2 linked regions of the Notamacropus eugenii genome follow. The protein of the gene in region 1 purifies or fractionates together with the protein of each later gene. This does not show direct contact. Links are inferred from orthologs where the notes say so. Each region holds a gene or a part of one and is shown in the gene's direction. Other genes may lie near its edges.

Region 1 (7,203 bases):
GACATTTGAAGCCACGGGTTTTGTTATTGAATCTTTTCCTGAATATTGTCTTCTCCGAATTTCTGGATGCCTCAGCTTCTAAATATTATCTTATTTTATACTCATAACAATAATCACATAGAGATTAAGGTACTTGCCCATGGTCACACAACTAAGTCTGAGGCTGGATTTGAACACAGGTCTTCTTGATTCCAGGCCTCTAACTACTGTGCCATTTAGTTGTCTCTTTCCCTCATTCTTTTTATTTTAAACCTCTTTTGATTAGATTTACTGGACACCTGGTTGGATTCACAAGGGTGGAGATAGCAAGTCTTATTAGTAAGTTGCTGCGGTAAGCCAGATGGAAACTAATGAGAGACTGAACTTCATTTTTTAAGGAAATGGTGTTACAAAACAAACATTATTAATTCCCCCAATCCCTCATGTTACAGTCCAATGTGAAAACACAGGAATGTGGTATGCATGTTGTGCAAGCTTGGCCAAATTTTATACATCACAGGATTTTGAGTTAAAAAGGCACTTCGAGATAATCAAGTGAGTGCATTTCCCTCAGTTTATAGTTGAGGAAACTGAGACCCAGGGAGTGGAAGTGACTTGTTGAAGACCACAGTGCTGGAAGGGAGCTGAGCTTAAGACTCAAATCCAGGTCTTCTGCCTCCAAATCCAATCCTCTTTCAACTACAACATGTACTCACACTAAGTTCTCAATAAATAGCTATTGCATCGATTCATACAATTTCTTGATTTATAATAGCTGTGCAAATAGGCATCGCTGCCTGCCAAAAACACTATTTCTCAACTCTGCTCCTTGAAGACAGACTACAATGTGGTCCAGTGGATGGAGTTCTGAATTTGGAGTCATTGGACCTGGGTTCAAACCACTGCTACTTACAATCACTCAAACAACATTTTTATTAAAGATTTATTTTAATGGCAAGTCTGTGCTAACTGCTGGGGCTACAATGACAAAAGTGAAACTCGAGTATACAGTCTGGTGGAGGAGATAATGTCTAAATGCATGCACACACACACACACACACACACACACATACACACACACACACAGATATTATATCTAAACCCTTACAATGAATAGAAGGAGGGAATTAACCGCTAGGGGACTTACCTGTGCAAATTTGGACAAATCACTTAAACTCTTTAGGTCTCAGTTTCCTCATCTGTAAAATGAGGGGGTTGGAGAAGACCTTTAAGATCCCTTCCAGCCCTAAGTCTATGATCTACTTACAATTCTGCCTTCCCTCTCTTCTCCTCCCCTCCCTCTGGGAGGCAGTGTGGTACAATGGAATGAGCCCTGGATCTGTGGTCAGATGACCTGGGTTTGAATTTCAGTTCTACTACTTACTACCCATTTGATCTTGGACCAGCCATTTAGACTCTTTGTGCCTCAGTTTCCTCACTTGTAAAATAAAGGACTTAAATTAGGTGCCCGCTGAAGGCTATTCATGTGAACATTAGTGCGTGTTGGTGAAGACTGCCTGACCAATTTGCACTAGATACAACACCCACATGCATCATCTAATAAACTGATTTTACTAAATACCCTAAGGAAGTTTGTTTCAATACACATGTACTTCAGCCAGATAATAAGACCAACAGGAATAGTAGATGGGCATTAGATCTTCAATTTGATTGGTTTAGGGAGAGCCCCAGATGAGATTTCCTTCCCAAATGCAGGTGGGCACTATTTTAGCAATTTCTAGTCATCGAGAGTTGCCTAGAACAGAGATGTTAAGTAATTTGCCCAGGGTCAGTATGTATCAGTGGCAGGACTTGAACTGGGTCTTCCGAGGTCAAATCTCTGCTTCACCACTTTGCCTCTAATAAACTCCAAAGTCTTTGGAAAGTATCTACTGTGGCTATAAAGGGAACTTCATGCTACACCATTTGGAGAGATGCAGGGGTGTGTGTGATTCCAGACTCTGTTACGAGAGACATGAATTCAAGTTCTAGATCCACCACAGCTGTTGTCCAGACTTTCATTTTGCTTCAGTTTCCTAGTTTCCTCATCAGTGGGTATAACATTTGCATTCCCTTGCCCTCAGGGCTATTATAACCGCTGCTTCTGCTGTCATCCTTATGCTGTAAGGATCAAAGAAGATAATGGATACGGGGTGATTTGTAATCATCAAGTGTCGAATAAATGAAAACTGTTGTTACATAGCTACCAATGTTAGGTAGTGAAAAGCATTTCGGATCTGAAGTCAGAAGACAGAAGTTCAAATCCTAATTCTGCCACTAACTAGTTCTGTGATTTCAGACAAGTCACCTAACTTTTCTCAATCTCAATTCCCCCATCTAAAAAAAAGGGGGAGGGGGGAATAATACATACCTTATAGAACTGTTATGAAGCTTAGATAATGGATGTAAGGTAATTTGTAAAGCACCAGATACTAGCTATTGTTACTGAGTACCTTTATTCTTTTCAAATCCTGGCTCTGCCATTTATTTCTACCCTGTGACCTTAGGTAAGTAACAACCTCACTGGACCTTAATTCCTCATCTGTAGAATCAGGGACTTGAGCTTGATAGATACCTTTTAAGGTTTATTCTAGCACTGAACCTATGATCCTGTGATCATGTGATTCCATTGGTAAAGGGAACTCCCAAATGGAGGAGCTCTCTTCAGATGCAGGTGGGCACCCTCTGATATCTGTAAGCTTTGACATTTGCTCCATGGGACTATGTGCAGATGTGCAGAGTAGACTATCATGCTAATGCAAGTGCATGTGGAAATCAGAGTGAGTGTACAATAAATCCGATACTTAACCTTGAAACTTGAAGTATTCTCACTTGAAAATGAAATCAGGCAAAAAAAAGAAAAGAAAATGAAATCAGACTAGAAAAATGTTGTCCTTTGCATTAAAAATAAACAACATGTTTCCCTGGGTCCTCTATCCCACCTTCAAATCTTTCACTCTCCAAAAAAGAAATAGAAGAAAAAGAAAATAAACGCAACTCTCTGGGACTCAGTGGGGTGCAGTGGAGTGATTTGGATTTGGATTCCTTGGATTTGGAATAAAAGAAGGAGGGTTCAGATTCTGTTATTCATTGCCTAAGTCTTTGTAATGAGTCATTTCTTCATTAAGTCATGGATTCCTCATCTATAAAATGAAAGGAAGATCTAGATGTGATCTCTGAGGTCTCTTCCATCTCTAAATGTGTGAGCCTAAGGATGAAAAAGAATTGTAACATTCATTACATGCTCAAGCAATGACCATGGAGATTAGGATAAATAACATCTTTCCTGCAAAAAAGGGACTTCTCTGTTATTAAACCTACAAGAAGCCTTACCCTGTCCCTCTCTGAGATCACCCACATTTCAGTTACCTTGTATATATATCTTGTACATACATAGCTGTTTGTGTACTGTTGCCCTCCTCGGAAAATGATGTCCTTCAGGGCGAGGACTGCTTTTGCCCTTTGTGTCTTCATTGCGTAGCACAGCGCTTAATTAAATGTTTGTTGATTGACTGACTGACTACGCTGTCAGACTTCAGTTTTTCAACTAATCTAAAAGAAGTGCGCTTGTGCCTGTGAGAATGTGTTTGTTTCTGCGTCTGTGTGTGTGTCATTCACTGCCTGTTGCTCTCTGTGTGCCACTGTCTTTGTCCCAATGTTTACAACTGTTTCTTGGTGCGCGTACCCATGTGTCTGTATGCCTGTGTCTGTGTGTGTCTAGGTACCATAGTTACATAATTAGGGTTAGAGTTACTCGGTGTTCTTGCGTCTTCGCGTGTGCCTGTGTACCTATGTCTTTCTCGGTCTCTCTCTCTGGATCTCTGCGTCTGTGTGCGCTAACGTTTTTCTCGGTATGCCTGTCTGTGTGTGTGACTGTCTCTCCGCATCTCATTACATGTGTGTGTCTCCTGGGATCTGCTGACTCCCAACGGGGCGTCCAGTCTGCAAGGCCGGGGCAGGCAGAGCTGCACCCCCTGGGGCTCCCGCGGAAACCCAGAGCCCAGATCTTCCACATTCAGCGCGCCCTGAATAAGGTGCGGCTCCGGGGAGGGCCGGGACTCCCAGCAGCAGGGGGGGAGGGGCGGGGTCTCCCTCACACCATTGGCCGAAAGTAACATAACGTCATCGGATGGAGGCGGGCCGGGGGACAACCGAAGTTCTGAAGTCCGGGGCGCATAGCGGGCTCCGAGCACTTGCAGTCTGCGCGCTCGCTGCGAGAAGCTGCCGCTTTCGCTGTTCCTAAGGTCAGATCCTCAGACTGGGGCGCGCCCTGCTTTCCTCCTTCCCCTCTGTTCCTGGAGGTCCTGTGCACCTTACGGAGACTGAATGACGGGCCCTCGTCGGGCGAGCAGCTGCTTGGGACTCTCAGGGAGCTGAGCCCCTGCCAAGAAGAGATTGGCAGCGGGGTACTCTCAATCAAGGCTTGTGGACCTCCAGGGACGGCCCCGCCCCCCGGGGGGACAGCTTGGGGGGTCATGTCTGCCAACTTGAGCCACAGCTTTTTAAACGCCACCATTCAGAAGGGTGAAGCGTGGATGGTGGGCTTGGGCATTGTCATGTCCATTATAGTTCTAGCCACTGTGTTTGGCAATGTGCTGGTCATCACAGCCATCGCCAGGTTCCAGCGTTTGCAGACAGTCACTAACTACTTCATCACATCACTGGCTTGTGCTGACCTGGTTATGGGGCTGGCAGTGGTGCCTTTTGGTGCCAGTCACATCCTCATGGAAATGTGGACCTTTGGGAACTTTTGGTGTGAGTTCTGGACCTCCATTGATGTTCTGTGTGTCACAGCTAGCATCGAGACCCTCTGCGTTATTGCTGTGGACCGCTACTTCGCCATCACAGCACCTTTTCGGTACCAGAGTCTGCTTACCAAGGGCAAGGCCAGGGTGGTCATCCTAGTGGTCTGGGTGGTATCGGCCCTCACCTCCTTCCTGCCCATTCAGATGCACTGGTATCGTGCCAGCCACCAGGAAGCTCTCTCATGTTATGAGAAGGAGACCTGCTGTGACTTCTTCACTAACCAGGCTTATGCCATTGCTTCCTCTATTGTGTCCTTTTATGTGCCTCTGGTGGTCATGGTATTTGTGTACTCCCGGGTCTTCCAGGTGGCCAAGAAGCAACTTAAGAAGATAGATAAATCTGAGGGCCGCTTTCATGTCCAGAACAGCAACCAGATGGAGCAAAATGGAAGGACAAGTCACCGAAGGTCTTCCAAGTTCTGTTTGAAGGAACATAAAGCTCTCAAGACCTTGGGTATCATCATGGGGACCTTTACCCTCTGTTGGTTGCCTTTCTTCATTGTTAACATTGTCCATGCGATACAGGACAACATTGTCCCCAAATATGTGTACATTTTTCTGAACTGGGTGGGCTACGCCAATTCAGCCTTCAACCCGCTGATCTACTGCCGGAGCCCGGACTTCAGATATGCCTTTCAGGAGCTCCTCTGTTTCAGGAGGTCAGCCCTGAAGCTCTATGGCAATGGCCACTCCAGCAACAGCAATGGGAGAAGTGAGCCCAACGAGGAGCGAGGGAGCTATCCCACCGAGCAGGAGAAGGAGATCGAGCTGCTGTATGAAGACCTCCCAGGCACTGAGGGCTTTTTGAACTGTGCAGGTACTGTGCCTAATGCTAGCGCGACCTTAGAGAGCCAGGATCAGACTCTGGATGATACCCCCTTGTGACTGTCTCTCTGGTTGGTAAAAAACCCTCAGCAAACCAAGCAAGGTGGGGAAAAAGAAAGAATCCACTTTTTAAAAGAACAGCAACCACCAACCCTCCCCCCCCCCCAAAACAATCCACAAAAACAACTCGTCACCAACACTCAAATACTAAGCACACTCTAACTCCTGAGCTAGAAATGTCTAGTCAGCCTAGAGAGAGATGGGCAGGTGGAGGAGGACAGACTTAGCCTATTTATTTTTTAAGTTTTTAAGTTAACAGGAAACAAAATAACTCACCCACCAGTTCTAGGGATTCTGCATTTCTGTAACAGGTGGGTTCTGCCTGGAATGGAGTTTGGAAGTGTATATCCCACTTCAAGGATCTCAGACCTTGAGGACTTGGTCGAGTTTGGATGACTTTCTTCTAGATCTACCTCATTTGTCAAGTATTAGGGTTAGCATACTTCTACTTGGGACATCTATCTGGAGGAGCAAGCCTTCCCCCTGGGCCTTGCGGATGCTCCAGCCGGACCTGGCTGTCCATATGGATTCGTCTTATCCTCCTATTGGCTCACATGGGCTATTGGAGGCAGGGACACAGAGGGGACAGCTTCTGCTGTTGAATGAGCAAAGTCTAAAGTTTACAGTAAATAAATTGTTTTGCTGTGACATCATTACACCTGTTTGTCCAAATCCCCCCAGCGGAACATTCTTGTTGGAAACCACAGGTAACTGTTTGTAATAGCTGTCCAGTGACTTAATGGTGAATTAATAGTAACAATAAGACCTCACATTTCTGTGGTGTTTACCAGTTTTACCTAGTGCTATTCTCCATAGCTTTGTGAGGTGTATAGGGGGAAATATCATCTCCATTGTATTAAGGAGCTCAAGGTTCAGGAGGTGAAGGAAGGGACTTGCCTATGGTCATATGGCTACAAAGTGTTGATGGAGACTTAAACCCAGGGCTTTTGCTCTAGCTCGTCTTCTTTTTTCATGCCACACTTCCTGGAATTACACTTACACATAGCTTAAGTCTGTTGGCATTGAATGTTATAATAAACACGTCTCACATAATCCTTCTACCCTAAATCAGGCTTCTCTGATTTGCTTATGTTGCTCATTAGTGTACCTATTTATGTATTATTGATATGTAAATATATTTAATGATTATTCAATAATAAAATTATTATTTATTATTAATGGGAAGTTGTCAATTTCCCATTAATTCTTTATTCCAAAATTATCCGTGGGAAGATGGTGGTACAGTGGAAAGAGGGATGAAAAAAGCAGCTGGGTTCAAGTGCCCACTGATACTTATTACCCAAGTGACCTTAGTGAAATTACTTAGCTAACTTAGACCTCTGTTTCCTCATCTGTAAAAAGAGGAGGCTGGATTATTAGCTGGCCTCTGATGTCCTTGCAGCTCTAGATTTAGTATCCTATGATGAAGTAAAATTGTGATCAAGTAAAAACTTCAGTTCAGTTCAATAATAATCAGACTTATAGTTCTCATTTACATAGCCCATCAAAATTACAGAGCTCTTTACAGACCCAT
Region 2 (7,695 bases), on another chromosome or scaffold:
GCTCATTTTGGCCCAACAATTAACACCAAGAAAACATTTCCACTAGCCAGTACCACATCATCCATACATGGAACCATTGGTTACAACAAATGGACAAATATTGAATTCTGTAGATAAGTTCACTTACTTTGGTAGTGTACTTTCCAGGGATGTACATATTGACAATGAGGTTGATGCACGCATTGCCAGAGCTAGCTCAGTGTTTGGGGGGCTCCAAAGGACAGTATGGGAGAGAAAACGTTTTAGTCTGCCTACTAAACTGAAGGTCTACAGAGCCACTGTGCTGACCTCATTGTTGTTGGCCTGAGAAATCTGGGCAGTCTACCAGCACCATGCCAGGAAACTGAATCACTTCCATTTGAATTGTCTTAGGAAGATTCTGAGGATCACCTGGCAGGATAAGGTACCAGACATTAAGGTCCTTACCCAAACTGAACTGCCAAGCATTCAAACTCTACTACAGAGAGTACAGTTCCAAAGGGCTGGCCACGTGTTTGAATGCCAAAAGTTGTTCAAATGCCAAATTTATATTTGCTAAAAGACTTTTATGAAGAACTCTCACAGGGCAGATGTTCATTCTTGGTCAGAGGAAGTGATACAAGGACACTCTCAAGGTCTCTTTTAGGAACTTTGGAGTTGATTATGTGACATGGGAGACACTAGTATAGGATCACAGGACTGCCCAGCACAGTGTGCCCACATCAGAAAGGGTGTTGTGCTCTATGAGCAAAGCAGAATTGCAGTAGCTTAAAAAAACCCACCAGATATGCAGATTTAGAGACATCACCACTCTGAATGTTCACATGGACAATTTGTGTCTGACCTGTGGTAGAGCATTCCAAGCTCCTATTGGTCTGATCAGCTACAGTTGGAGTGGACACATTGTAACTTGACCCCAACATAGTGATGTCATTTGCGTTCTCTGTGAGAAGAAAGGACAACAACCTACCAGCCAACCAACTCTTCTCCCTGCCCCTCCACCCCGCCCCCTCAGGGAATTGGGGTTAAGTGACTTGCCTAGGGTCACACAGTTATTAAGTACCAAGTGTCAGAGGCAGGATTGGAACTCAGGTCTTCCTGACTCCGGGACCAGTGCTCTCTCCACTGTGCCACCAGCTGCCTCTTGCTCCCTACCTTTTAACAATATTAAGAAAACACTTTAAAATGATCCTGCCTGAAACCTTGGGAATAATCTGAAAGAGAACCCTCCTCTATCTCTCTCAACCATCAATTCCAGGACCAGAGAAGAGCCAGGACCCTCTGACTGATTTATCTAAGAACAGCTCGCTTTTCCCCCATGCCCTGAAGGTGTTAGGATAAGGGTCAACCCTAAGATGCTGCTTTGATGACTTCAGTTAATAGATTACTTGAGTTACTTCAGTTCATTTCACCTTTGGCCAGCTGGCAAGGAGAAACCTTGGAGGGAGTGGTCAAAGAGGAGATGAGTGGTTTAAAGAAATGATTCTCCAACGGTGAACTATTGTCCCATTTAATGAAGCACCCTGTTAACTGACCTGTTACCCAATCTTTGGAGCCTTGCTCAGTTTTAACTGTAGAATATTCCTCTGTTAAAAATCTCTGCCATTGGGACTTCAAAATAGAAGAGAGATGTGTGCTTGAGGTCCTAACGACTTGGGCAGAGTGGATATTTCATTCTCAAAGCAGATCAGTGCTTGCAGTTGAATAATTGGAAAGCATCATTGCCAATTTTTTTGATTAACTCATCAGATTAGATAGATCTGCATTGTTTTTTACTGTTGTGCAGCTGATAAAGAGCTCTTAGCAGACATAGGAGAAATGTCAGCTCTTCCATTGTCTTTCTGTAAAGGAACTGGCCTCTCTGGCCTGAGCCAGTTGGAAGCCAGGAAGGCGTGGCTGGCCAAGGATCCCAGTCCTCACAAGTGCAAGTGGAGTGCCCAACTCATGCTGTTCCCACAAGGAATGTGCACCGCACCTAGTAGGTGAACTAGAGCCCCTCAGGCTGGCTTTGGCTGCATCAGACTCCAAAGGCACCAGGTGGATTTCATGTTCGTCTGATCTAGGGGACAGACAAGGGCCAAGGTTGAGTCCTGCACCCTCCCCAACCATGTGGTCCCTGAAGGCAGATGTAGGCTTTTGCTCATTCCTTCTAGGTGACCTGAGCCAGTGAAGGTCCAGAAGCAGAGTCTATGCAGCTTTGAGGCACTGACCAGGGAGCTGAGGCCAGGGAGGTGAGCACTGGGGACCCATGCACTGCAGCAACCCCACTGTGGATGAGCGCGGTCCTTGGGATGGGGGAGAGTGAACCCCTGAGGTACAGGGGAAACCTGCCATTTCCCTTCTTGCTGTATCTTCAAAGCAAATATCCCTTCGTCAAAGCTAATTGAAGTTAATCGGTTCAATAGACTCAAGGAGAGCCTCTCTTGAATGCAACCCCAGTGAATGGAAGCTCTGGGCTACAGATTTAGAAAAACAAAAACACCTCAAGGCTTGGGGTGCCCCAGGACCCTGAGGGGGAGTGTCACCATCCTAGCCCAGGCCTGATTGGCCTCCCTGAATCAGACCTCCCCCGAAAAAGTCCCTTCTGAGCTCTGAGGTTTGCTGCCTGGAGGACTGAGGAGAGAACTTCAGGACACAGCTTAGTATCAGATTTTTTCTTTTTTCTTTCTTTTTAATAATACTTTGTTTTTCCCCAATTAAACATAAAGACAAGTTTTAATATTCATTTTAAAAAGTTTGGGGTTCCAAATTTCCTTCTTGTTTTCTTCTTCCCCTCATCTGAGCAGGTGAGCAGTTTGGTAGAGGTTATACACGTGCACTCATGCAAAACATATTTCCATATTAGTTGTTAGAAAACAGACCAAAAAAAAAAAAAACAACTCCCCGAAAAAATTAAGTGAAAAAGAGTTTGCTTCGGTCTGCATTCAGACTCCATCAGTTCTTTCTCTGGAAAGAGGTGGACAGCATTTTTCTTCATGAATCCTTTGGAATTGTTTTGGATCATTGTATTCCTGAGCTAAGTCCATCCTAGTGGATCTTCCAACAGTGTTGCTGTTAATGTGTACGATGTGGTCTTGGTTCTGCCCGCTTCACTTTGCATCAATTCATGTTAGTCTTTCCAGGTTTTTCTGAAATTATCCCAGCAGTATTTTTTTAAAAAAATAAGTTTCTATGGCTATTTTCTCTTTCTTGCCTCACCATAGTATCTCACGTGTCTCTCCCTCTCCCCCTTTCAGAGAGCTATTCCATATGACAAATAGTATTTTAGGGGAAAGGAGAGCTCCAGCCATGTGTGAGACCAGGGGACCTCCACCAAGAGGCAGTCTTCTGGTCACCGTTCATTTTGGATTTTTTGGGAGGGGTCATTCTTTGCGCTCACCTTGATGGAGTCGCCCAGTGCCTGGGTGGCAGGGCTCTGATGACCGCTAGTCATCTTCTCCGCTCCTCCTCTGCCTTCCCGCCCTGGAGTGGCACTCGCTGCAGCATCCTCTGGGACCACAATGGGTGGGCCTGAGGCTAGGCCCTTCCCAACAGATGGGCCTTGACTTTGGTCCCAAAGTTCCACAGCACATTCTCCCCTGGGAAGAGGATCGATGGGGGGGAGCGGTAAATGCCCGTTTGCACAGGCTTTGTCCTTGCTGTGGGCTCCCAGGAAACGCTCCTAGGGAAAAGCTGGCAGATTCACCTCCCCAAATTCACCCCCAAACCAAGAACTCACCCCAAAGGGTTGCATAAATGCTGCGCTACTATCTGTTGGGGAGACCACGGCAGGGATGGGACAAAGGGGTCCATCTCCTGGCGTGAAGGACTCTGAGCTGTCCAGTCTCCCCCCTTCCCCGTCCCCAGGACCCAAGGGGGCACAATCAGGCCAGGACGTCGGACTGAGGGCGCTGTACACAGCAGGCACCTAATAAATGCCCACGGACTCACGGGAGGCCAGGAGGTGTCAGGAGCTCCAGGAAGAGTCGGGACCAAAGCAAAGGGGGGGGTCTCCCTAACTGTCCGCCGCCTCGGGGTGGCTGGTGGGCAATCATGAAGACCCAAAGAAAGGACCAGACAGACCCTACCCTCAAGAAGCTCCCAGTGTACCCCAAGATATCCGGAGAACCAACCGAAGGAGGCGGTACCAGACGGAGGGGGCGGGACTCTATGCCTCGCCCCTCCCGAGCCCTGCCCCCTAAAACCCCGCCCTGTTTCGCGGGGGGCGGGGCTCGTTCTCCTCTTCTGAACCCTCCTCCTTCCCTCGAGCCGTGTGCACCCGCCTACCAGTCGGGGGCGGGGCTCACTTCCCTTTCCCCTCCCTCCCCTCCCCTCGGGGCGTGTGCGCCCGCCCTCCAGCCCAGGGGCGGGCTTCTTTCCTCTCTCCCCTCCCTCCTCCCCCTCCGCCCCTCGGGGCGAGTGCGCCTGCCCACCAGCCCGGGGGCGGGGCTCATTCCCTTCTCCCCTCCCCCTCCGCCCCTCGGGGCGAGTGCGCCTGCCCACCAGCCCGGGGGCGGGGCTCATTCCCTTCTCCCCTCCCCCTCCGCCCCTCGGGGCGAGTGCGCCTGCCCACCAGCCCGGGGGCGGGGCTCGCTCCCCTTCTCCTCCCTTCACCATCCGTCCCTCCTTTCTCCTCCCTCCTCCCTCCGCCCCCTCCCCCTTCTCCCCCGCCTCTCCCCTCCCCGCCCCGCCCTTCCCGGCTGGGCCCGCGGCCCCGGAAGGAGGCAGGCGCGGCGGCAGCGGCGGCGGCGGCCGAGGCGGGAGGTTACGCACCGAGGCAAGACGTGGGCCCCGCCGCGGGCCGTGGGCCGTGGGCCGTGGCCGGCGCTGGAGGCGGGGCCGCGGCGGCGGGTGGGACGAGCCCTCGCTGCCGCGGCGCTGATCCCGAGCGACCGTGACCGAGACCGTGACCGTGAACGGTGAGCGGGGCCTGGGGGGCGGGAGAGGCACCCGCTCGGAGGAGGGAGATGACAGCCGCCGCCTGGCCCGCAGCCCGGCCTCCCCTGGCCCCCGCTCTGCGCGAGCGCTTATTAAGTGCCTGCTGTATGCGAGGACCGGGCGGCGTCCGCCGGGGCCCTAACGGAGCCCTGGCTGCGCTATGGATGGGGGCGTGCCCCGAGGGGCCGCCGGGCGTGTGGCCCCTAGGGCGGAGGGCTGAGGTCCCCGGTGAGACACTCCGCCCCCCAGCGGCGGGGCCTTGAATGCCGGCTTCAGTGGGACCCGGGCAGGAGGGCCCGGCGCTCCCCCGAGGTGGGGGGCCCCGGGCAGCTTGTCCCCCCACCGGTCACCTCAAACAGAATACGGGACCGAGCTGGACCTTGGGCAGGGCCCCGGGGTCAGTGACCAGGGTGCGAGCCAGGGCACCGATGGCAGGTGGAAGGTGTGAGACTGTAGACAGTCGGTGCTTAATGCTTGGGCTCCTGTGGTCAGTCCCATGTCTGTGGAGGCGCTCCGGGACCATAGCCGAGCCAGGGTCAGTCTGACCGGAGCCATGGCTCAGGCCGGGTCAGTCTGCTGTGGCCGGGGTGGCCCGTCCGGGGTGGTTCAGCCTGGCTGGCCCGTCTTGGGTGGCCCGTCCGGGGTGGCCTATCCTGGGTGGCCAGGCCTGGGCCCAGCGCCTGGGGCTGGGCCCCTTCCTGGACAGTTCTGGCTCTCTTAGCTTACAGAAGCAGCACCTGTTGCTCACACTTTCAAAGGCTTGGAGGTTTGGCCTTAATCAGAACGGAGGGTCCTCAGGAGAAGCAGCCCCAGAGAAAGGCCTGGTGGCTGGCTGAGGCCTGTCCTCTCAGAAGGAGCCCACGGTCATTGATGTCAGGTCCATCTCAGATAGAGAGATGCCGAGCAGATGAAAGGGGTGGACTGGGAAAGAAGGGGAGTCTGGGGGAGAAGGGCAACATGCAGGGGAAAGAGGGAATTCCAGGTGAGTCCTGCACCAGCCACCTTCGCTGAGTCAGGCGGGATTTGAATGCAGGTCTCTCTCCAGCAGGCCAGGAGGAGGGATGGGAGAATTGAGACCTCTCCTCTGGTGTCCTCTGCTCTGCAGGCCAAGTTTGGGGTGCGTTGTTTGAGGAGGAGGTTGGGGTAGTCTCCAAAGGAATGACAGAAGTGGATCCGTTTGTTTCAGGACAATTGCCTGAATATCTTAGGAGTGAAGATTGAATCTAGGGACTGTGGGTGATGAAGATCCACTCAGTGGACTTCTATTGAAAAAGCGTTAAGCATCCCCCCTGTCAGGCCTCGCCCTAAGCACTGGGGATAAAGACAAAGACAAAAAACAACCATCCTTCCCTACAGGGAACTTATACTCTAGTTGGGAGAAAAAGCCTTGATATAGAAAATCAAACATAAACCATGTAAAGAAGAATTAAAAAAAAAACCAACACAACAATTTCCAGGGAGGAGAGCACAGGTCTAATATGAAGGACAATTCTGTGTTTTTTTTAAAAATTACTTTTATTTTTTTCATCAACTATTCCCCAATTACATGTAAAAAATTTTTAACAATCATTTTTTAAAATTTTGAGTCTCAAATTCTTTCCCTCTCTCTCCCACCCCTTCTTCCTCCTTGAGAAGCAAGCAATTTTATTTTGATTATACGCTGAGCTCATGCAAAGCGTATTTCTATGTTAGCCATGGTGTGAAAGAAAACACATGCACACACACACACAGAATAAGAAATCAGGTTAAAAAAACAAGTCTGCTTTGATCTGCACTCAGAGTCCATCCGTCTGTGGAGGAGGAGAGCCTTTTTGGGATTGTCTTGGTCCAGTAACAGAGTCTTTCACAGTCGCTAACTTGCAGTGCTGCTATTTCTATGCAGTGTCCTGGTTCTGTTCGATTTGCATATGTTCATATAAGTCTTCCCAGGTTTTTCTGAAGCCATGAAGGACAATTTTGTTAATAAGAATAGGTTTTCTTTTTAAAAAAATACTTTCAAGTTTAGCTTCAATAAGAGATCATTTTCATGTACAAAGGCTAGAAAAGGGGGGAGTGCAGAGGAATGTGAAAAGTAAAACAGAGAGTGGGAGGGAGACCTCTGTCCCGGTAGCCTTGAACATGGGGTCTTTACTGTAGCCATGGTCAGATTCTCCAAGAAAGTCAGGAAGTGGAGGAGCTGAAAAGACAGATGACTGAGGAGGATCCTGGGGCCTGGCTGGGAAGTCACAGGCTCTCATTCTCCGGTCCCTTCAGCTCACACTAGTTGTGGAAAAGCAGTTCAGAGAAACGTTTCTATGAACTTGAATTTTCCTTGTATTATTAGCTGCATTGTTTTGGATTCTGGAAGAGCTGGGGCCAAACCTCCTGTCTGCTGTGTGCTTCCAGAGTGCCTCTGGGCAGTTCTCTCTTAATTAAATCACAGGTCTGGGGCACAGTTCTCCCCCTAAGAAACAACTCAGACTCTTTAGAAGATTTTTTAAATGAGTGTATGGCAGCGTCTTTACGACCGATGGAATTACAGCCCTCTATGGAGGAGTTGGGTCAGCGAAAGCATGAACAAAGTATGCAAGGCTTGGGGCATCTAGGGGGCGCCATGGTGCTTAGAGTCGGGGAGACTCCTCTTGGGGAGATCAACTCTGACCCCAGACACTTGCTAGCTGTGTGAGCCTGAGCCAAGTCATTTCACCCAATTTGCCTCCGTTTCCTCACCTGTAAGGTGGGGACAGTAATGGCACCTATCTTCCAGGGTGGTGAAGATCAAATCTTTGCAAATAACGTGTTACACAAGTGCTATTGTCG

What was found. Proteins that work in one complex are often made in the same cells at the same time.
Region 2: the proteins of ADRB2 (region 1) and USP33 purify together in Homo sapiens (affinity purification with western blotting; 3 studies listed by BioGRID and IntAct, with this or other methods). This does not show direct contact. The link is inferred for Notamacropus eugenii from reciprocal best matches to the Homo sapiens genes ADRB2 and USP33.

Annotation. Positions count from the first base shown.
Region 1 is NC_092872.1:409,722,911-409,730,113, reverse strand, and holds the start of ADRB2 (beta-2 adrenergic receptor), read left to right. Parts: upstream 1-4,165; 5' UTR 4,166-4,454; coding exon 4,455-5,601; exon of another isoform or gene 5,602-6,376; intron 6,377-7,203. UniProt on the Homo sapiens protein: Beta-adrenergic receptors mediate the catecholamine-induced activation of adenylate cyclase through the action of G proteins. The beta-2-adrenergic receptor binds epinephrine with an approximately 30-fold greater affinity than it does norepinephrine.
Region 2 is NC_092873.1:538,966,684-538,974,378, reverse strand, and holds the start of USP33 (ubiquitin carboxyl-terminal hydrolase 33), read left to right. Parts: upstream 1-4,638; 5' UTR 4,639-4,877; intron 4,878-7,695. UniProt on the Homo sapiens protein: Deubiquitinating enzyme involved in various processes such as centrosome duplication, cellular migration and beta-2 adrenergic receptor/ADRB2 recycling.